3 linked regions of the Astyanax mexicanus genome follow. The protein of the gene in region 1 purifies or fractionates together with the protein of each later gene. This does not show direct contact. Links are inferred from orthologs where the notes say so. Each region holds a gene or a part of one and is shown on either strand. Other genes may lie near its edges. The genes, in order: polr3e, polr2h and si:ch211-140b10.6.

Region 1 (7,685 bases):
GACTCTTCAATTGATGTTCCATCCACATTGAGAGCGATCTGCTCTCCTTTGCTGCGGCAATAGTTGGGACTCATGGTTTCAATGGCCACCTCAAGTTCAACCTGAGCACAGAAATGTAGAGAACAAAGTGTGATCTGAATTATATCTTAAATTAAATTCATTTCAAAATCTCTTCAAAACTATTGAAGAAATCTGACCTTTTGCTGCTTAGGTTTAATTTTGGCAGATAAATGAGTTGTATCATCATAGTTCATAGTGGCAGGGCGCACAGGATACTGTAAGAGGAGAAATTTCATATTTCATTCATCATTCAACTACTCCAAGCTCACACATCAAAACCAAACATCACAATCAGTTTCAAATGGATCAGAAGAAATTCATCAATCTTACCTGGAATAAATACAGCTTGTCTGCGAGGCTTTTGGCAAGATAAACGTCAATCTTCAAACAATAAAGAAAAAGCAAATAAGATCATCATGTCTGTGTGTCTCTGGCAGGTTTAAGCGCAGCAATGCATGTTTATACAAACACTGAGGGTCAAACACGTACCTCTTGTATAATCGGGTCATCCTCCTCTCCGCTGGCCATTGTTAAAGGACGAGGAGGAAACTTTGCCTCAGGCTTATGAACTCCGAACCAGGAAATACAGAACTGATGAGCTGGTCACAGCAAACCATGCAAAGGCTGTAAACATAAATACAAAAATAATAGAGATTTAGGCAAAAAATGTTTGTGGCATGTCTTTTATTTAATGGGCTTTAACACATTGCTTGTTTGGCCTGGATTTTATTAGAATAATAGAACTTCAAGGTAAAAAAACTTGTTTAGACAGGGCCTAAAGGAGGTTAAAAGGAAATAGTGGGTGAAAGGAGAAAAGGAGTCTCTTAAAAATAGGGAGGGACGCTCCTGATCTGGTAGTAGAAGAAGGTTTGTTGCACCATTGTGGAACTCTGTATGATAACAGTCTGGATTGCTTTGTGTGAATGTTTAGCAAAGCCAAATTGGAGGAGCGCAGCGGCCGGGAGGTAGCGTAAGCCTTCAGGAGTGAGTGCAGGTAGGAAGGAGCTGTTCTGTCATCACCTTGTAGGCGATTGTAAGAGCTTTGAATTTGATACGAGCAGCAACTGGTAGCCAATGGAGCTCAATGAGCAGTGGGGTGAAATGTGCCCGTTTTGGCTGGTTGAAGACCAGACGTGCTGCTGTGATTTTAAAACACAGGCCAGGAGGCCCGTTAGTATGGCATTGCACTAATCGAGGCACGAGACGATCACTGGTTGTACCAGGAGTTCGGTGGCCTGTTGTGATAGAAACGGTCAAATTTGTCTGATGTGGTAAAGTGCATAGCGGCAGGATCAAGCAACTGCTGGTCATCAACCATAACACCCAGGTTCCTAGCAACCTTTGTCGGGGGGAAAGAGAGAGCACACGAGTCTGTGGTTATGGTGAAGTCAAGACCAAGTTGGGCTTCCAATACAGGCCACATCATTACAAGCACCTTAAGGTGCTTTTACACTCGCTTTGTTTGGTCTAGTTGTTTAAACTTTTCAGTTTGCGTCCGAAACAAAACAGCAGGTTTGACATAAGCTGTGAACCACAGTCCAGAACAAAAAGACTGAACCATCGACTGAACCATGGTCCGGTTTATCTGCAGTGTTCAAACTTTCAGACCAATTACAGAAAGTTGAGGCAGTCTTTAAACAAACCAGATTAACGCTTAGACTGGTAATTCATTGACTTAACAGTAGATCGAGCCTCATTTAAAAACAGAAATAAAAGGAATCTGAGGACAATCTTTTACACTCTTTCTGCTGCTATGGATGCGCATGTGTCCGCAAAGGGAAATCGGATTCTGACAGAGAGCTAGATTTTGTCACAACACCTGGCAATTAATATGCAGTATATAGAGAAGCAGCTCACGTAGATGTAGCTGATATCGACTGGGTGTAGTAAAAAATTCTTTATTCCGCTCATTAAACTGCAGCGTGAAACAAAAATTATCCAGAACATATGTATACAACCGAACAAAGACATGAAGATTAGTGCAGACTCTGGTCTGGGCTTTCAGGTGTGAAAATGTCCTGAGTCCCACAGGTGTCCAGCGTAGGCCCCAGTGCACAGTGTTAAACCCATATAGGGCCCCCATTGTTATGCTTTCCTGGGCACATCACTGACTCTGAGCACTATCTATATGTAATGCCAACATGGAACCCACACACAAAACCAGCTTGTTTCTAGTTGGCCTAACCATACAAGCCCTATTCTTTTTGTTATGGAAGCGGTAAAAACTAGCCAGCGTCTACACCTGGAACATTTTACCACCAGAATGAGCGTTTACTCTGTTTTGTAGAACTTTAGCATTTTAAATCAAACTATTCTGTATAAGGGGTGGGAAATAGAAACGTACTATACATCATATCATGAAATTTGTATTCAATTCACTTTCTCCGTGAAATCATAGATATCCTCGATGCTTAAAGGACACTAATACCAACTACCATACCATACCAACTATCATAAAAAGTAATTAGCCCTGATTAATTGAAATAACAGTTTTTAAGAAACTACGGCTGCTGGTGTATTTTTTGGCATGCTAGAATATACTATATAATTAACTGTAAAATGAATATTGAAGTCATTAAAGCTATACAAAAACATGGATAACTCTAAATAGTAAACAAAAGTGTTAAAAAACCCAGAATATATGTTTTATACTTTAGATTCTTATAAGTAGACACATTCAGCTTTGAGGACAGATCTGCACACTGTTCGTATTTTCTCACGAGGGAGAGTCACCTGGAATAGTTTTCTCAGCATATTGAAGGAGTTTCTGGAGGTGCTGAACAATAATTGCTGCTTTTCCTTCACACTGTGAAGCTCCAGCTCATCACAAATTACCCATAATTTGTGTTTAGGTCCGGAGATTGAGGAGAACAAACACTTTTTACTGTTTACTATGTAATTCCATGTGTTCTTTATTTGTTTTGTCGTGTTATTATATCTATCTATCTATCTATCTATCTATCTATCTATCTATCTATCTATCTATCTATCTATCTATCAATCAACCATTCACATGCACACTCAAAGCTGACAGCACGTTTCATCTTTTTCAAGCTGTTGAAGGTGGAATATGAAGCTAGACTAGCGTTGATTTTGCTGTAAGACTCTTAAACTCCACCTAGTCAACACACTGACACTTTACAAGGACATTTACATATTAAAACAACACTGTCACTTCACACTCTCACTGAGACACAATCATGTTATTGCTCTTCATTCACACCATCAAGCTGCTATAGCACAACTTGCACTCTGGACTTAATGTTGCTGCTACTTGCATACTCTCCCTATTTTGTGTATTTATATTTATATATTTTTCTTTTTTATTTTGTCTTATATTTATCATTTTAAACAATTGCTCTTTTGGGTGTAACTGGATCATGAGAATACAATTTTGTTCCACCTCATGTACCACATGTGATGTGAATGACAAAGTCTCTGTGACTCCTTGAATTTTTTGCCATTAAACCTATTTGTTATTAAAAAGAAATGCAATCATTATTTTATCCATATACAATATTGCTATGAATAATACAATTATGTGTAGGGATTGGCACCAATAACACAAATCTAAGTGTTTAACACTGATTTATTTTTTCACATTTGAATACCTATTATCAACAGCTTAGTCTAAAAGAAGAAACTTTGTGATTAATCATGATTAATCACAGAATTCTACAGTATAGTTTAATATTAATCTACATTTTAGAAAAGAAGTAAAAGAAGAGAACAAGAAGAAGGAAAAACATGGAATGAGAAGATGTGTCCACATGTTTGGCTGCTACTGTGTCTTAAAGTCTTTTACATCCACACCCATGTCTACTCTGCATGACTAACACATTTAAGCATAACTAAGTAGGCTAAAGTAAGAGTTAGATAACAGCCAACATCATAAAGAGCAGAAGATTCACTTTGAAAGATCTCCTGTAGCTAATCAGCCACATAAGAACTACATAACAACATAAAGGGGATCTAGATATTTTGTGACCATTTAAAATCATTTGTAAATAGTTAATACAACTGATAACAGAACGAAACTACACGTTCATTCCCATTTAACGTTAGACAGGCTGCTTTAGTTATCTTAGAATTTAATTCACAGATACCAGAACACGTGCACACGTCAGGATCTGATCTGTAGCTAGACTGGACGTTTTTGAGTAGTTAGCTAAGGCTATATGAACTGATCACACAATAAATGCATTTTTATGATTGTAAGTTACTCATAATGGGCCTCATAAAAGACGTTTTCACACTACTGTCCATGGTGAGTCGAGCTCTCTCCTTCACTCCTGCATCTGTCACTCGTGTCTACATGCATGTATCCCAACAAACAGGGTGGTGGGTATTTTCAAACACATTAATCTCGAATTACAGGTAGCCATGTTACCCCTGTTAGCTACATTTCAGAACAATTCAACACGTTTATCGTCAATTAAAGAATAACCAAGCTAACAACTAGACTTTCCAGCTACAGCTCTAAGTTTAGCCAGGGAGCTAGCGTTAGTGAGCTAGGTTAGGTTAGCTAACGCTGTAGCTCAGTCCATAGTAGCTACAATACAACAATCACGTTTCCAGGCCTCAGTTCCCGAAACAATATAAGACTTTATTAATAGATAAAGAATAAATCCCGACCTGAGATTCACTAGGAGAACCGGACCGGAAGAAGCTTCCCCGGTCTGGGAGTAGAGCTGAGCGGGGTGAATTTGTCAGAATCTGCGCTCTACTTCCATGTTGCTGATTCCAGGGCTTCCTACAGACAGACACGTGGGGAGGAGCTGTGTGCTTTGTCTCTTCCCATGATGCAATGCACAGTCAGGCCGGCAGAGTTGCCAGGTCCAATACAATTACCCAGCCCAAAGTCAGTCTAAAATCCTCCATTCGAAAGCTTAAACTAGCCCGTGTTTAATATACAGCTCTGGGCCACTTAAAATATGGATTTCTTGGATTTTATCAAATTGAAAACCTCTGGAATATAATCTAGGGGGAAGATGAATGATCAACAAGTCATCAAACCAAGCTGAACTGATTGAATTTTTGCACCAGGCACAAAAAGTACAAAAGCAGTGTGTAAGACTGGTGAAGGAAAACATGTGAAGATGCATGAAAAACAATATTTGGTTATTGCACCAAATATTGATTTCTGAACTCTTGAAACTTTATAAATATGAACCTGTTTTTTTTTTTTTTTTTTTTTTTTTGCATAATTTGAGGTCTGAAAGCTCTGCATCTGTTTTGTTATTTCAGCTATTGCCCATTTTCTGCAAACAATACTCTAAATGACAATATTTTTATTTGGAATTTGGGAGAAATGTTCTCCGTAGTTTATACAACATTGTTTATTGGGATGTATTGCTATTTATCTTAAAGTAATTCATAATATTGTAACATTAGTGTTTTATTAGTTCTTTTATAGCAGGTTTATATCCCAGTCAAGAACATTTAACAGTAACATAATTAGCAAAAAAAAACCTTTTCTTTCTCATTTCAGTTCTTGCCTCTACTGAACTCACTTCTCTCGCCCTTTAACAATTTTTTGATCGTTTTGTGATTTCTGGTTACGTAGTGATTTCTCTCTCTCTCCCTCTCTCTCTCTCTGTCTCTCTCTCTTCCTCCTTCTCTCCTTTTCCCGCTGTTCATGTCGTTATGTTCTACTGGTTTTTAATGTTGTAATTTGAAAGTAGCCTATACAAAAGCACCCCGCCACCCCGCAACTAGATTTTCAAACAAGCACAATTTGGTGGGAAAAGCAGAAACCTGGCAACTCTGCTGGCCGGCTTCATCGGTTCAGAGCCTGTTTATGGAGAGCATGCCCACTTCATATTACACTTCATACATAATTAAATTACTGACAACCGCGAGGGGGGAGTCCGGGAGTAATTAAAAAGAGTAATTAAAAAGATGAATAGAGCTAAATGCTAAAAACGCAAATAAAAATGGAATTACAGTTTTTCTCGATAATTTGCACAAAAATATTGGTGCATGAGACACATAGACCACAACATGTAACTTAGGCACCGATCCCCTGAACCTGTTCTACTAAACTACAAGCACAGTTCCTGCTTTACACTCAAATTGCAGTTCTAAAACGCTAGTTACGTACGTAACTGTGGTCATGTGAATAGTGGATGACGGCCAGGGCGGTGCTTAATGTGAATGTATCACTGCCGTGCCCACGGCAAACCGAGAGTAGTATACCAACGAAGTCACTCACGTGACACAGCGTGTGACGCATGCAGGGGTATAATACCCCCTGGCACTCGCTGCTCCTCCTCAAGTCCTGGTTCTTCTTGCAATCCGAGTGACCAAGAACCCTGGCGGTCATCCACTATTCACATAACCACAGTTACATACGTAACTAATGTTATGTTTCATAGTTCCTGACCGCCAGGGCGGTGCTTAATGTGGATAAAGCATACCAGCGATGTCACGAGGAGACTCCGGACAGAACCGCCGTAGATAAGCCCTCAGCGGCTGCCACATTCATACTGTAGAAAAGAGAAAATGTGCATGGTGACGACCATGTGGCTGCTGCACAAATCTCCAGTAGAGACACTCCTCAAAGCGCAGCCCAGGATGTGGCGATACCTCGAACAGAATGTCCTGTAGTCGGGGCAGATAGGGGACGATCTGCAGCCCTGTAGGCCCCTTGAATAACCTCCACCAGCCAGTGGAATAGTCGCTGCTTCGAAAGTGGTTTTCCCAACTTTGCAGCAGAGAAACAAACAAACAGCTGATCCGTCTGACGAAAGCTGGGGAACAATAGTCTGTAGAAGAAGGGGAAGAAGGGGGAAGAAGGAAAAAGAGAAAAAAGAGAGAAAAAAAGGAAAAAGAAAGAAAATAGGGGAAAAAATGAGAAGAAAGGAGGATTGTACTTTGATTTTTGTCATTAGAAAGACATATGTGCGTTTCTAAGCATAAGAAATCGACACGTTTTATATTGCATTGGTTCCTATGGGATATGAATCCGGCGGCGTGGGTTCGATTCCCGCTTCTGTCACTTTGTAACATGAGAGGTTTAATTCGCTATTGGTCATACATACGTGAATATTTGTGGCTGCAGGCCAGTTTTAACACACAGTCTACGATCAAAAGTATCTTAATAATCAAAATGAATCCTAGTCCTACTACTAATAATAACATTTCCTCTGAATCTCCATCTGGCAGCACCCTAAAGACTCTAAATGATTATTTATATTGTTTTACAATGTGTCTTGCATTTAACATTTAAATGTATAAATGTATACCACTGTATCACTATTGTATCTTGACATTGTGACAAATGTAACAATCAATAAAAGTTTTAAAATGTGGCTTCTTCCATGTTTTACACTGGTATTTGTAAATTCAAGTAACACACAAAACAATTAAATGTATTTATATTTCAATAGATTTATTTTTCAATCACAGTTGTATTAAAATATTTAAAAATTAAAAAGGTAAATATTTACACCATTCAACTCAAAGACTGATGTGTCTCACAGCTACGCGGTGTTCCTAATGAACTGGCCAAACTCTAAATGATTAAATGTATTACTGTATTAAAATGATTTAATACAAACCATTATGCTCCTTAAGTCCATCACAGTCAAATATTCCGCCGAAACTGAGGCCACGGACGTTAC
Region 2 (7,685 bases), on another chromosome or scaffold:
TGCCGCAGAGGCAGAAATGACCACAATAAAAGTGTTTTTTAAAGATTAGGAAAAGCAGGACGGGTATGTTTCACAATTTCAAAGTACCACATTTCAGATGTTAAAGAACAAAAAAATTGGTTTAGGTTTTAGTGCCTCTTTAATCCCTATCTGGAAAACCAAGCCTTAAATTTATTTTTAATTTTTCTCACCTGTCTTCCAACATTGTTCTTCAGTGGGTAGATTACAAAATGAATGTGTAGATAGAATTCCAGTTTCTGGACATTCGGATCACTGTCCCGAATATCCACAGGGACGTTTTCTGCCCACAGTTCAAAAAACACCTTCATATCACCATCATCGAATGAGCTGATCAGATCCTTCTGCAGACAAAACACATTTTAAGAAGTTAATTTATTGTATTTTACTGCAACAATGAAACTCTGTGTTACTAACAAAACGTGATCTGGTCATTATCAAGTCATAAGGATAGACAAATACTATCTAAAACTATACTGAAAACCCATATAGCTCTATGGTACATGTTTCTTTAATTCAGCACATTGATTGAACATTCATGTTAGAAGGCTAGAAAAAGTGACCACCAAACCCAGCAAATCCACCAAATGTTTAATTCAGCTCTAAATAACTTTTACGGAATTTCAAACCATTCCTCCCTGTAAATGTGTTTTAGATCATCAATATTTCATGGACATCTTGCTTTTCAAATGTACTGACATTTCACACTATGAAACACTCTCCCAGCACTCTAGCAATGTTTCAGAATTAGCCTTACCTGGATGATTAGGATTTTGGAGTCTACAGGAGGGCTGCTTGGTGTTTTTGGCACAGGTTTTCCTTTGCTCTTGCATTCCTTCTCAAAGATCTTCACCGTATCCTCAAACTCAGAGAACTTCAGGTACTGAAAATAATCAATTTTACATTGAGCATATGCTTTTGCTTATGAAATGGCTATGAAAATCATCAACATACAGAGCATGCAATCAGAATTCATATGTGTCAAGCTTAATATAAAAGAAATGTGAAGTCCAATGCTGCAAACTAAAGGGGTTATAGGGTCAAATAAATTTAAAAATGTGAATCAAATGCAGACATTTTAGTGTGGTAGCCCATCAAAAACCTCTGCATTGGTAAGTGACCATCCAGTCATCCATTTGAACAATCTAACATGCAGACAGACTGACCTCTTTTATCATTAAAAGGAGATCTGCTTCATTTGCCAGAATGTCCCCCATCTCTTGAGCCTTTCTGGAAGTCATGTATCCTCAACCTGCAAAAGAAGAGACAGTGATCAATCATTTAGCTCACTTATCAGTTAAATACATAACTGTCCTACTTCAACACACCATTGTATGAAGAGTATGCTGATAAACTGCATGAAACTATTTGGGAGATTTTTATTGTTTGGCAACTTTTTTCAGACTCTTGTTTATTGTTTTGATAACAAGCTGATTTTTTGAATCACCCATGCGTTATCAAGAGGGCCCTTACAAATGTGACATAGTTTTGCCCAAAATCAACAAATAGTAGTGCATTTCAAAAAAATAGAATCATTAAAAAGTTGCTTTATTTCAGTAATTCAGTTTGAAATGTGAACCTCATATATTATATAGATGTGATACACACACAGTGATCTGTTTATTTTACTGTTGATGATTATGGCTTACAGCCAATGAACACCCAAAAGTCAGTGTCAGTTTTGGCAGTGTGCCAGGTCCTGCTGAAAAATGAATCCGCATCTTTATAAAAGTTGTCAGCAGAGGGAAGAAGCATGAAGTGCTGTAATATTTTCTGGGAAAACAACTGCACTTTAGACTTGATGAAAAAAAAAAAAAATGGTTTCCAACACTAGCAGATGACATAGCTCCCCAAACCATCACTAATTGTGGAAACTTCACACTAGACCTCAAGCTGTTTGAACTGTGTGCCTCTCCACTCTTTCTACAGACTTTGGTCTCTTTATTTCCAAATGAAATGGGTTGGAGAGGACTTGGCACATGGATGGATGGATGGATGGATATTGTGTCTTTAGGAAAACTGATGTCAGCCACACAGAAAGTGCAAATACACAGTTATATAATAATTTAAATTTAGCAGTGCAAAAGATACGTAAACAGTAGATGAGTGAACTAGTGAATGAACTACTAGTGCAAAATAGGGTAGAACTATAAAAATATTATTATAGGCATTAGTAAGTCTAAAAGTGTGTCCATAGCTGAGTGTGTGTCCATAGCTGAGAGTGTGTCCATAGCTGAGAGTGTGTCCATAGCTGAGAGTGTGTCCATAGCTGAGGGTGTGGCCATGGTGTGGCCAGAGTTACCAGAATGAAAAGAAAAAAATACAAATTTCCTGAGACATCGATTTTCTTTTTCTGAAAGCCATAATCATCAAAAGTAAAAGACAAACGTTTAAAATAGACCACTCTGTGTGTAATACATTTCTATATAAGCTTAACATTTTGAACTGAACTACTGAAATAAAGTACATTTTCAATGATATTCTGATTTTCTAGGTGCACTAAAATACTAAGAACATAAAAAGGCACATGTATGTCTTTATTTCTTCACATATACATATTTTTATTTATGGTCCACTTCTATGACTCACTGTGTTGGAAGATTGTATATAAAAACAAAAGTGATAAATAAATACATAAAAATATAAGAATTTAATGAAATGGTGTAATAACCAAAATATGTTTTTTTGCCTGAGGATAACACTGCCATAGAGAGATAAACTGCTCTGTGTCTGCAAACGAGAGATATAAGCTGTATTACCTCAGCTTTTAAGGTTTAGGTTCTCCACTTTCTTGGAAATAGGAGGATAAACCCTTGCCTCCATGAATTTTTAACAACCACGTGGATACAATCCAAATGCAGCAAGATAAGATTAAAAGAGCATCCTCACATTTTAGGCACAGTTTGATGGTAAGTCTCGAAAATGTAGTCTTGCATTTTATTTTTCAGCATAAGAACAGAAAAAGAACCAAAACCAACAATACTAGCTTGTGTTAACTACCAAACTACAGCCATCGACATAAATACTAGTGAGTTTAAGTAACCCAGCTGGCCAGTTTAACCAGTTTAAACAGTTTAGCAGCGCCTTCTTAGATAGCTTATGTTGTTTTTGAAATAGATAACATGCTAGCAAATTAGTGTAATATAACGTTTAGAGCTCAGTAAAGCGTGTAACAAACTCCACACTCTGAAAGAAAGCATTAAAAGCATTAGCTGCACTGTTAGCTTAGCCCCTATGCTCATAGGTAAATAAACACCGCGCGGCACTCACCTCAGTCAAAAACACCCTTAAATGCAATAAAAATATCACTACTCATTTCTCAAAGTGAAAAATGTCCTTATATTATAAAACGGAAGGGTTAAAAAGCCAGAAAATGTTTGCGCAGGTCCGTAAAAGCAGCGAGTGGAGTTTAGCTTAGCCTAGCCTCACAGGCGCTGGTGCTGTTAGTCACTATAGTAACAGCTTTTGGGACGCTCTACACCTGGCAACACCATCCGGCAAGAGGATGTAAGTGTCGTGAGGATTTGTAGTTTTTGTCCGAGGTGATGTAGTCCAAGCCAGAGTTCGGAGACAGCATTATTATTATTGTTTTGTGTTAAATTACACAAAGATTAAATTTTATTGGAGCTGCAATAATAATAACGATAATAAGTAAATAAATAATAATTAAAAAATATATACAAATATTTAAAATGTATGTGTAAATAAAAAATGCTTTCGGCGCCACCGGAAGTACACGTGAAGCCGTAAAGAATCAACAGTAAGGCGCGTGTTCCGCTGGAGTTCAGTAATAAATGAATGAAACCTGTTATCAGAGGTTTAATTTAGTAGAAATTCACGCGGATTATCGCCGTGTCTGAACGCGTTTCAACATATTTGGTGACTAAAGCGCATCAGCTTAAAAGTAAGTGACTTTTAAAGACTATTTTTTTTTTACCTAAACCAAGCAGAACTGAAGGGAAATACCGGCGAAGCTAGCTTAGCTAGCTTGCTAGGGTGCTAACTAACGTGTTTAGAGGAACCAGTGTTTAGCTAACGTTACATTCATCCATAAACCAAGAGTCCCCGTGTGTTTCAGACTGAATCAAACAGCGTTAATTAACACATAAAACGAGTGGGTAAATATAACCTATGTAGTAATTTAAATAAAAGTCTGGGGTTAAGTTCATGTCCAGGGTTTTATATCTAGCTAGGTTTGTTAACCTGGGCAGCCAACTATCTGGCTATCTATTTACCTGTTTTCTTCTTTGGAGTTAGTGGTAAAGTGAACGACTTATAAAGAGTTTTTTTATCCATCCAAAACAAGCTGAACTACAGTAAAATGTTGGCTAAGCTAGGTTAGCTAGCTAAGATTCTAGCTAACTTGTTTAGAGTAACGTTACAGGAACCAGTGTTTACTTTTATCCATAAACCAAGAGCCTAAGTATTGATTTAGCCTGAATCAACAACCATTAATTGATATATGAATAAGACTAGGCAAATATAACCCATATAGTGATTTAATTGAAGGTCTGGGATTAAATGGCTAAATTCATGTCCATAGTTACATATCTAGTTAGGCTAGCTAACCACGGCAGCCAGCCAGCTAGCTACTAACATGTTTTCCTCTTTGGCGATAGTGTTAAAGTAAGTGACTTATAATAAGCAGTTTGTAGATATCGAAAAACAAGCAGAACTGCAGGGAAATGTTGGCTAAGCTAGGTTAGCTATCTAAGATTGTAGTTAATGTGTTTCCTAGTTACTTTTGTGTCCAAAATTTCCCCTCGGGGATCAATAAAGTATATAGCTATCTAGCTATCTATCTAGCTAGCTAGCTACAGTACATGACATGTTTACATTCATCCATAAACCAAGAGCCTGATTGTGTTTCAGACTGAAACAAATAATCAGTTAATAAATTAATAAGAGTGGGTAGATGTATAGGGGGCTGTATATGGTGGTTTAAATAAAGTGCTGGGGTTGAATGGTGAAGTTCCTTTCCGTGAAGTTTACTAGTTATATAGTTAGCTAACTATACTGAGCAGTCAACTGGCTAGCTTCCTGCTTTCTCGTTTACCTCTTTGTAGATGATCTTATGTGTCTTAAAGTTGGTTAGATGTTGATTTATATGTTAACTAACCAGTACAGCTGTGTGTGTGTTTTTTTTTATCAGAGTGAGCTTCCTGGGCAGATCAGCAGTGGTCTGTAGAGATGGCTGGAATTCTGTTTGAAGATATTTTTGATGTGAAAGATATCGACCCAGATGGGAAGAAGTTTGACAGAGGTGAGACCAACCTGCAGCAAATCCTAATTTTAACCCATTTATCGTTTGTTAGTGATGCTCCAGTATGGGAATTGTGACAAAACAAACAGTTCTTGTAGAAACTGTGAGTTAATCCATCTGGATCACAAACACACAGAGATAATGCTAATTTTATCTGTTCTCTTCCAGTGTCTCGGCTTCACTGTGAGAGTGAGTCTTTTAAAATGGACCTCATCCTGGATGTGAATACTCAGATCTATCCTGTTGATCTTGGTAAGGGAGACGTGTTGTTGTTGTGGCCCAAAATGTGACTAGATGTGTTGAATGACATTTTCATTTCCTAAATGGGCCACGTCAATTTGTGGTATTAAATTGCTATACATATCTAATGCATGGCAATGTGGCACTATATAAACATATAGACTGAAATTAATGTGACTTTTACAGCAATGTATAGGAAAAAGGACTGAGAGTAATGGCTGTGAGTAGATTAAAATAAAATGGAATGCAGCAGTGATTTAAGGGCTTAATTGGCAGATAAACTAGGTAACAGATCTAGTATCTGAACTTATGTTTGTAATAATATTGGAAGACCCAGGTAGCAGCCACACCGTGTTCCTAATGAATTGGCCAAACATGGCTGCAGAAAGCAGCTGCAGCGTAGAAGGAAAAAAAATCTAAATAAATTAAAATTTAACCGTCCTTTTTTTAGGAAGGCTCCAGTGAATTTTCAGCTATAAACCAACAGCCTGAACTATAGCTCCTGAAATACTGACTGGGATTAAAGTGAAACTTAACATGAAGCATTGCTCTGTGGTGCATGCGTGTCTCTTATAAAACGCAAACCGTTTAGACAGAGTCGGATATGGGTAACATAAATAAATAAATAAATAAATAATTAAATGAAAGTAGTGTGTGAACATTTACACACCTGTTCTGTGGGAGTAAAGGAACATGTTTAATAATCTTAAATAAGTTAAATAATATATTGTATCTTTATTTCAGGGGACAAATTCAGATTGGTAATAGCTAGCACACTGTACGAAGATGGCACTCCAGATGATGGAGAATACAACCCTCAAGACGACAGACCATCCAGGTAAAACCTGTTTACATATTAGTATCATTTTACTGTACATAACAATATATGGTATTTGTTTTATTAAATTAGTCTTCTGCAAAAAAAAAAAAAATAATAATAAGTTGGCAGAAAGAAATGTTTAATAAATGATTACCAATAAATGCATACTCTGTGCTGAAATGATTACTTTTTAAATGTTAAGTCTGTGTTCTTTTTCTCCAGGGCGGATCAGTTTGATTATGTGATGTATGGCAAAGTATATAAAATTGAAGGTGATGAGACTTCAACAGAAGCAGCTACACGACTGTAAGTGTCAAGTGTCATTATTGTCATCTTTCTGTTTCCTATAAAGTTACACATACTTAAGAATATATTTACAATCATACAAATGTTTGGCACCCCAAAATGCGACATATAGTTGATTTCTTAAGTGTTCATTAGTTTACATATCAAGAAACCATCCTGCACATTTTAATGCATTTTAAGTTCTGTGTAAAAATATTTTCTTTCATGTTATTTTGAAACTTTTTCATTTATCACATTCACACAGCAGCTGCATGCATAACACACAGATATGCAATATTTTGCTGTTATAGCAAAACCTATCTACAAAAAAAACTATCTACCTGCAAGGTCCTATTAGGAAAATAAATGTTTATGCATCAAAAACACCACAATTGTCCAAACTCTCTATATAAAAATTAAGCAGACTATGCATTTAAGAGTCAGATACGTTTGGCTGCCTTGTGTTCTTTGTCTACAGCAGTCTTTTTGAATGTAAAAAAAAGCAGGGAAAACGTTCTACGCTGAATTCATTAATATAAATGTATATCCAATTGCCTTTGTGACATCACAAAAACTGAATTTAGAACAGGCTTAGTTTACCGACTTGGAAACTAGCAACTAGCTATTTTTACACACTAAATCCATACTATTGCTCTTTTATTTCAGAAAATGAGAGAAACATTCAAATTCCATTATATGGCCAAATAAATATATGTATTTGTAATATGTTTTATTTTAAGTCTCATTGGCCCCGTTCTATTGGTCTATTCTTGAAATACTCTCACAATTTGAAAGGCAGCTGATCTTTTTAACTATTGTGAGTTAAGCAGTATGAATGGTAGTGGTGACATGAAAATCTTCTAATCCTCCTTCTTTACCTTTCTTTATTCTGTTTTCCACAGCTCAGCTTATGTATCATATGGTGGTCTACTCATGCGACTACAGGGGGATGCCAACAATCTGCATGGATTCGAGGTGGACTCAAGGGTCTATTTACTCATGAAAAAGCTTGCATTCTAACAAAATTTGCCTTATGCTGCCCTGAGGAACGATATTGCT
Region 3 (7,685 bases), on another chromosome or scaffold:
ATATTTGGTGGAATAACCCTGGTTTTATCACAGTTTACATGCATCTTGGCATGTTCTCCTCCACCAGTCTTACACACTGTTTTTGAATAACTTTATGCCACTGCTGGTGTAAAAATTCAAGCAGTTCAGCTTGGTTTGATGACATGTGATCATCCATCTTCCTCTTAATTATATTTCAGAGGTTTTCAATTTGGTAAAATCAAAGAAACTCATCATTTTAAGTGGTCTCTTGTTTTTTTCCAGAGCTGAATATTATGCTATGATTTTAGAATGCAATAAATATAGTATGCTATAATAGTCTCAGATTGTATAATATATTGTTATAAAATACATTTGATTTTCAAAAGAAAAAGTATTAGAAGAAAATAAAAAAAACACAATACAGCAACAAATATTTTCACATTTTAACCAGTTACTACACACTGGTTGTAAAAAGGTTTTGTAGAATTGACCTATATTTCTCCATCGTATGGTAAAGGCAATTGTTTAGGGTTATAGATATAGAAATTATATCTATGCTAAAATAAAAAAGAAAATAAGAACATAAATAGTTAATAAACATTTATGATGTAATTAGTATTCATTAACACTAAGCTGCTAATGCTTACATGCACTGTACAAATTGTTAATATACCGTACATCTGTGATCTGTTTACAAACATTTAGTGCAATATAATTTACACAACAGTTCTGACTTATCTTATATATTTTAAACTACTAATTACACAAATTAAGACAACCTAAATACCTAAGCTGTCAATCACTTAGAGACCATATTTTGACAAACGTTTATTGATTAGTAAAGTAATTACCGATGTCACTTTAATTGTCCCCCTCTGGCTGAGCTGCAGTTCCTGCTTATACACATATTTATTCATATTTATTGTATTTACAGTTCCTGTGCCTTCTCTTTGTGCTCTGGCTGTCGTCTTTACACTACTTACTACTACTACTACTACTACTACTACTACTACTACTACTACGTACCCTTTTATCCATTTCTATCATTGCACTTGAGAGGCAGCCTAACAACTTTACACTGCACTGTATGGGTGTATTGATGATAATGTTGTATTAAATAAAACTGAATACGATTAAATATTGTCCACCCCTGCTTTATGCTTTATTCAGACAAAGCTATAGAAATTCATGTACTGCTGCTGAAAAGACAATTCAATAAAAGTGGATCACACCTGGACTTCACATGGAACAATTTTGGTTGGTTTATTTACTCAATAAACAAAAAGTTTAATGTATCACTGCTAACATTTACCATGTTAAGCCCACGACTGTTGAAACATGTTTTTTGGATTTTCTGCAAGGTGTGCATTGAATGCGGACACTTCCTCCTATCTATCTTTGTCTGTAAAGATGACTGCATCCACACAATTTTTTGTATATTTTGCTCCTTTTTCTTCTGCATTCATTTTTTTACCTGTCTGTTGCTCAACATTTGTAAAATGATACTATTTAATGGAAAAAAAAAAAAATCCATCAGAATTAATAAAAACAGGTTATAGACACCAATGACTCACCACCCCGCTGGCCCCATGGTCTCTGCCCGTACTTTGGCTCGACTGGCCTCTTTCAGGAGTTCTTCAACTGCACGTCTGTGAGGAGGAGAATGGATTAATTCTTCAGTGTCCATAAAACAGACAACAGGAAATGAATGCACGTGTGTGTCCTGCAGCGACCCAGTCCAGCAGCTGAGTCACCACCTCTTAGTGGCATCACCAACTGTCCACAGCTGCCCTTTGACCGCAGTTCACAAAACAGGTGCCCGAGAAACTTGCTGCCTCAGCGGCAAGAACACAGTCCATTCCTCACACATAGCACACCCACTGTATCAGTGTCAGAGGAAAGGAGTAACTAATAACATTTAAATAATTACATGTGCTCAAGCACAGCTTTGATTTGTCCTTCTCTGAGTGTTTTTTAGATAATACTTTTACTTTTTGGGTAAACTTGACGTAATTAATTTCAATTTCCATTAATATTTCTATCAATTAAAATATAATTTTTGTGCTAATACAGTAAGAATGTTGTATTTTGCTTTTGATTCTGTTTAATGCATCTACTCAAGTATGGGTTTATGCTACTCTACCCTCCTCCAATCAGTGGTAATCAACCCTTTAGAGTTTAGGTCCAGCCCTATTCTGCTCCAGCTTTAGCTTCTAATGTTTTCAGAATGCTTGGACAGGCTGCCTTCAGTGTTTGTTATCACTGAATAGGATCAACAAAGGGGTCTGGTGTATCGAATGTGTTTTGGAATCAATATCTGCTGTAAAGAGGATCTCCAGGTTGGTAACAGTTTTCTGTAAGACTAAACTGTACATATAGAATATTTATAGTGCCAATCCACTTTAAAATAATGTTCTTATTATATTATCTGAATATACTGCACAATTATATGCATTATTGTACAAAAAAATGCTGAATAAAACATTTATTTCTATACACTTATATATTTTTTTGTTTATTTATCAGAACAGAATCTTTTTACATTAAGTTACATTAAATACTAAGAACATGTTCATACTTTTCCCCTACTGCCAATTTACCATTTGGAGACAACTGTTTTTAGGACAATAAGCCTTTGCTATTTCAAACTGCAACAGGCACTAATTCTCATCTGCTACTGTTAGTGTACCGCAACTGTGCTGCACTATGTTACACACATAATTACTTTTTTTTTTCTAAATAGGCAGTAACTATCTACATTTCTAATAACATTGACTGTTTAACACATCAATCATATTTAATGTCAATGTGTGTGCTGTGTATTAAATACAGTATTTGAATGTAAAAAGGTTGCATATTTTGCAACCAAAATTATTATTGAGAAAAAAATAATTATTTGGGTGTTTAGCCAAATAAGACCACATAATTTAAACAAAAAATATTTGCAATAGAAAAAATGCTTTTAAGCTATTGCATTATGCAATAGCTAAAAATGTGGTAAAATTAATGAATACCTGCAAATTAAAACACGTTTGATATTTAGCTAAATATTTCATTTTGTACAGTTTCAAACAAAAAAATATTCAGTGTACCCCTAGTTTGTAGCTAACCAGTTACTGGCAATGAAAAAAGTGTTATAGAGGAGAGAAGAGAGTTCAGGGGGGGCAAGAACAGAAATAAGTAAATAAAAGTCAGTTCTATTTTTATTTATTTTTTGCTAATTTTGTTACTATTACCGATAAATGTTCTTAACTGGGATATAAAACTGTTATAAAAAACAAATAAATCATAAATGTTACAATATTATTAATGACTTAAAGATAAATAGCAATACGGATAATAAACCCCTTATAAACATAATACTAAGTCGTACACTAATAGTTGTTTTGCCATTTGCTTCAATCCTGTGACAGACAGATATTTTGGGCTAGTTTAAGCTTCTGAAGGGCGGGTTTTAGACTGAGTTTGGGCTGAATATTTTTCTTGGACCTGGCAACCCTGCCCTGCTGTCAAGTGATCAGTTTGTAGCTTAGCTAGTTAACTTACCTCTGTTATGAAGCCAAAGCAAGCTAATTAACTTAGTTAGCTAACCTACGTTATGTTAACGTTAACTAGCTACACTTAAAATTCACCACACAGATCAGTTCGAGATCCAACATCTCCATTAGGTTTTCGTTATTGCAAAAATATGCGATTTAAATCATGTAATCAAACCAGATGTAAGTGAATTAGCCTGAATATTCAGGTAACTAGCTAGGTTAATGTTTTCATGTTCAGTTCTGCAGTAATAGACGTTAAGCTAACAGGCTAACACTGCTTTCGCTCAGCATTAAAATCCCATTTCCCCGATTAAATCACATTTAAACAGCTTAACATCGTCTGTTAAACGACCTACCTCTCCAACTCACTGGCTGTATCCTTATCCATCACACTGACGGACGATTTTAACTTCCAGTTACAGCGATTCCTCTATTATTGCTTAGAGACTACAAAGACTACAAATTGTTTTCACCCGTGAGGACCCAATTTAGGACCAATAGCTGAGCGGCTGTGTGCCTGAACGAATGAGCGCTGAAATAGTAGAGAATCGTAGTGCAGTTTCTAAATACAGCAATGACATTAGTTAATTTTTGGACTGAAATGTGTATGTGTGTGACTAGACTTGGGAAATAAATAGTAATTATGCGTATTACGATCTGTGACAGGGCAAAACCCAGCATGTAGGTCGTGTTTTGATCAGGCGGGGCAGAGGGCGCGATTTGGCTGGTCAGACCGACAGCCGGAGAGAGAGGCTGGAGTGAGCTGAAGCAGCGGAGAGGAGCCGCAACTGATGGCCGAGAAGGACGGAGCCTGCTGGGGGAGATCTGAGGGGCGAAGGGGCGGCTGAGCGTGGGGGCTGGGGGTGGATGTGACCGAGAACTACTAGGTGACTGGAGCACGAGCACGAGGAGAGAGGTAGGAGGATGCAGGATGAACAGGGACACTGTTGTCTTTTGTTGAGGGTTAATTGGAGGGATGGAGGGATGGATAGATGGATGGAGGTTGTGATGTGAGAATGGAGGATGTATGGTGATGTATGGTGGTATGATGTAGGATGGAGGAATGGAGGCTGTTGCATTGAAGAATGCAGGTTGTGTTTGGGGGAATGGATGCTAGGGGTTGAATGGGTAATTAATGAGGGTGAACTGGGTGGGATGTCTGCATGTCTAATGTAGATTTAAAGGCTGTCAGTGCTGTTAAAACTGTGCATTAATGCGAGGATGTGGTATAAGGGAATGAGGGTGAAGTTGAGAGCATGTCTGAACTGGATAAAGCTGGCCAGCAGCATTCTCAGATGAGACATTGCATTAGGAAGGTGTGTGGCTGAGGAATGCAGCCTCTGTGCAGCCTGTGTGTTTAGGGTAAGTGGGATGCTTTTGTTTAGGGGGATGCTGCTGCTCCTGGATGCTTTTTGTTTAGGTGATGAGGTGGGATGCATTGCTATGAGCATTTAAGTGACTGTATTGATAATATGTGTTAGGGCACTGGTGGAGAATGCGGGTTGAAAAAGCATGTGTGTGCCTTGTTTTTTTTATAGGGATGCCTGCTTTGTTCAGAGGGGGGTGCATGCTTTGTTTTAGGGGGACCAATGGGATGTATGTAGGTTGGCTGATGAAGCTGTGTGTTTATGGGGATGGATGCTGTGTTTTGTATAGGTAAGCTAGGGGGTGGATGCTACATGTATAAGGGAATGCATGCTATGTATGTGTGTCTGTGTGTGTTTATGGGAATGGATGCTATGTATATATGGGAATGCATGCTTTGTTTGTTTATAGGATGGATGCTCTATATGTTTTTTTATGTTTGGTAGAGTGAAGGACATGGAATGAAATTGCAAATGAAATGGATGCTAACCAGGTTAGCATGTCCAGGACAGAGCTTGTTAGTGAAGCTAATATGTTGCATTAGGAGAGACTGTGTGATTGAGGAAAGGCTGCCTCTGCATTAAGGGGGAATGTGTGTGAGGCTGTGTGCTTGAGTGAATGGACTCTGTGTTTGGGAGAATGGAGAGTGTGTGACTGGTGACACATCCTCCATTCCCCCTCAAACACACAGCCTCCAATGAGCTTGTGACGTCAGGCGTCATCATTCTGTCAGGGTTTATTATGCTGTTTCTGCTGCTGACTAAGACAATAGCCTTCAATCTGCACATCATTTTAGGCGACTCTCCAGAAATGGCTGCATGTTACGTACTGCTGCTCTCTGCCTAGATCAACCTGGTTTTGGGGTAGATTTAGGGCAATGAACGATGCTCTTCAGAGAATGAAACCTGAACTGAAAGGGAATAATTGAATCACTGAGAGGTAAACAAAGTCATACAGAGTGGTTTGAAATGCTCTATCTTTAATAGTAACTTATGGCCTTGGATCACCATGGGGTCACTATGTCTATAACACAAATATAACAAATTTCTGCACTATTTAAAGCCACCAGTGAACATACAAATGTTTTTTTTTTGTGAATGAGTTTCATATAAATGAGATCCCTAATGGAATGATGATGGTGAAACAGCAGTACATACCCTCATCATCAAAGAAGTGGTTATAAAAATAGTTGCACTCAGAAGGAAGTGTTAAGTTGCAATGACTGATATGAACAATATCAGTCAATATTTGTCATATTAATTAGGCTACACACATACAAGACTAGTTTGTTATCCACGTGTATCACAACATGCCAGACTTCTCTGCATGGAGTTGTAGAGGTTCCTAATGGTGGCATGCGATAACCCATCTCATGCAGCATGAATATTCTCTCCCAGTTCCTGCAGATTTTGTGGTGGTTGGGTGGAGTGTCCCATACATTTTCAGTCTGGGAGAAGTCTGATAATCTGGCTGGCCATGGCATAGTATCTGTGTCTTCAAGGCAAGCTCTTAAGACAGCAGCAGCAGTGTGTATGAGCATTGTCCTGTTGGACATATAGTGTGCCAGAGTGTGCTTTCAGAAAAGAGCAGGACCACTGGTTGCTGAATTTTACTAATACTAGTAACGCTGGACTGTTAACACGCCTGTAATGAAGACAAAAGGTGATTTGGCATCTTAAGAAATTGCACCCCACACTAGGTGCCCATGACACCTGGTCCTCTGGATGTATGCCTCGTGACAGTAAACCATTGACCTTGGCACTGACTGACAGTGAATCACAGTGTCTTACATGGATTTGTTGGTTGTCTTCACCAAGACAGCAGTCTGGCATGACTACCCACCATATTTTATTCCTGTTGGTTAATTTCTTCTGAGTGCAGCAAGATGAAGATGAACATATACAAAAATAGGTTTTAGGCCAAAGTCTTATTACAGATGTATAAAACAATGTATTTGAACCCATTCAAGATTTTGTGTTATAATATTTTGTAATGCAGGTTTTAGAAGTGTTAAGACATAGGGTTTTATTCACCATGATTGAGCCCCTTCATCAAGTCACCACTTCATAACAGTGTAATAATACAGATATTTTGAAAGACTGATGATATTTCCTTTTAATCAGTCAAGGGCATGTTGTGATACTGTACTGTGTAAGAAGATACATTATCCTGATAGTCCAGAGTTGATGGCAAACAAAGAGACACAGTGAAAACAGAGCGGCCTTGAAGCCGTGACTGTTGCTCAGCCTCATCCATACACTCCTGCGAGAAGAAAGTGCTGCCTGAGACAAAAAGAGTACAGATAATTTCTCCTGGATGGCACCCAAAGGCCATTTAATGTTCCCGTTCGCTTATGTAACGGAATCCCTCGCTGTGCCGTCCACTGTTTAAAATAGGACGAGAGTTAAGTGCATTGGTGGCTCTTCATTTACAACAATGTGCCCGAGATGAAGCGTGCTCAAGGCCGTGCTCTGCACTTGCGATATACAGTGTGTGTGTGTTTGTGTGATGAGATGATGACAGGGCTTTGTTATTCGAACAGAGGAGCCTTGTGTCCTCATGAATAATTCACATCCAGCTGCAAAGATAAAGAGACAGAGACAGGTAGTCAGAGGGACACGAGCGTAGCAGACGGCGGCTCTGTCGTTTAAAAGGTGCAGAACGAGAGAGTGGAGGGATAGTGGATGATGGGATGGTTGGGGACGCATGAAGATGCTGGCTGGGGACGCATGAAGATGCTGGAGGTTGGTCGCCATGGATACATGTGAAGCATGGAGGGTAGTGTGGGATATATATTACCTGTATTGTTTTTGCCCACTA

The links.
Region 2: the proteins of polr3e (region 1) and polr2h purify together in Homo sapiens (affinity purification with mass spectrometry; 3 studies listed by BioGRID and IntAct, with this or other methods). This does not show direct contact. The link is inferred for Astyanax mexicanus from reciprocal best matches to the Homo sapiens genes POLR3E and POLR2H.
Region 3: the proteins of polr3e (region 1) and si:ch211-140b10.6 purify together in Homo sapiens (affinity purification with mass spectrometry; 3 studies listed by BioGRID and IntAct, with this or other methods). This does not show direct contact. The link is inferred for Astyanax mexicanus from reciprocal best matches to the Homo sapiens genes POLR3E and POLR1D.

Annotation. Positions count from the first base shown.
Region 1 is NC_064422.1:28,327,426-28,335,110, forward strand, and holds the start of polr3e (DNA-directed RNA polymerase III subunit RPC5), read right to left. Parts: upstream 4,848-7,685; 5' UTR 4,696-4,847; intron 685-4,695; 5' UTR 589-684; coding exon 550-588; intron 442-549; coding exon 391-441; intron 276-390; coding exon 198-275; intron 102-197; coding exon 1-101. UniProt on the Homo sapiens protein: DNA-dependent RNA polymerase catalyzes the transcription of DNA into RNA using the four ribonucleoside triphosphates as substrates.
Region 2 is NC_064423.1:25,661,348-25,669,032, reverse strand, and holds the start of polr2h (DNA-directed RNA polymerases I, II, and III subunit RPABC3), read left to right. Parts: upstream 1-3,738; 5' UTR 3,739-3,922; intron 3,923-5,170; 5' UTR 5,171-5,208; coding exon 5,209-5,281; intron 5,282-5,449; coding exon 5,450-5,533; intron 5,534-6,265; coding exon 6,266-6,359; intron 6,360-6,563; coding exon 6,564-6,647; intron 6,648-7,528; coding exon 7,529-7,646; 3' UTR 7,647-7,685. Other genes in the region: lisH domain-containing protein ARMC9, read right to left, coding at 192-362, 776-901, 1,185-1,259. UniProt on the Homo sapiens protein: DNA-dependent RNA polymerase catalyzes the transcription of DNA into RNA using the four ribonucleoside triphosphates as substrates.
Region 3 is NC_064408.1:96,428,364-96,436,048, reverse strand, and holds the start of si:ch211-140b10.6 (protein POLR1D-like), read right to left. Parts: upstream 3,986-7,685; 5' UTR 3,889-3,985; coding exon 3,857-3,888; intron 1,611-3,856; coding exon 1,536-1,610; intron 1-1,535.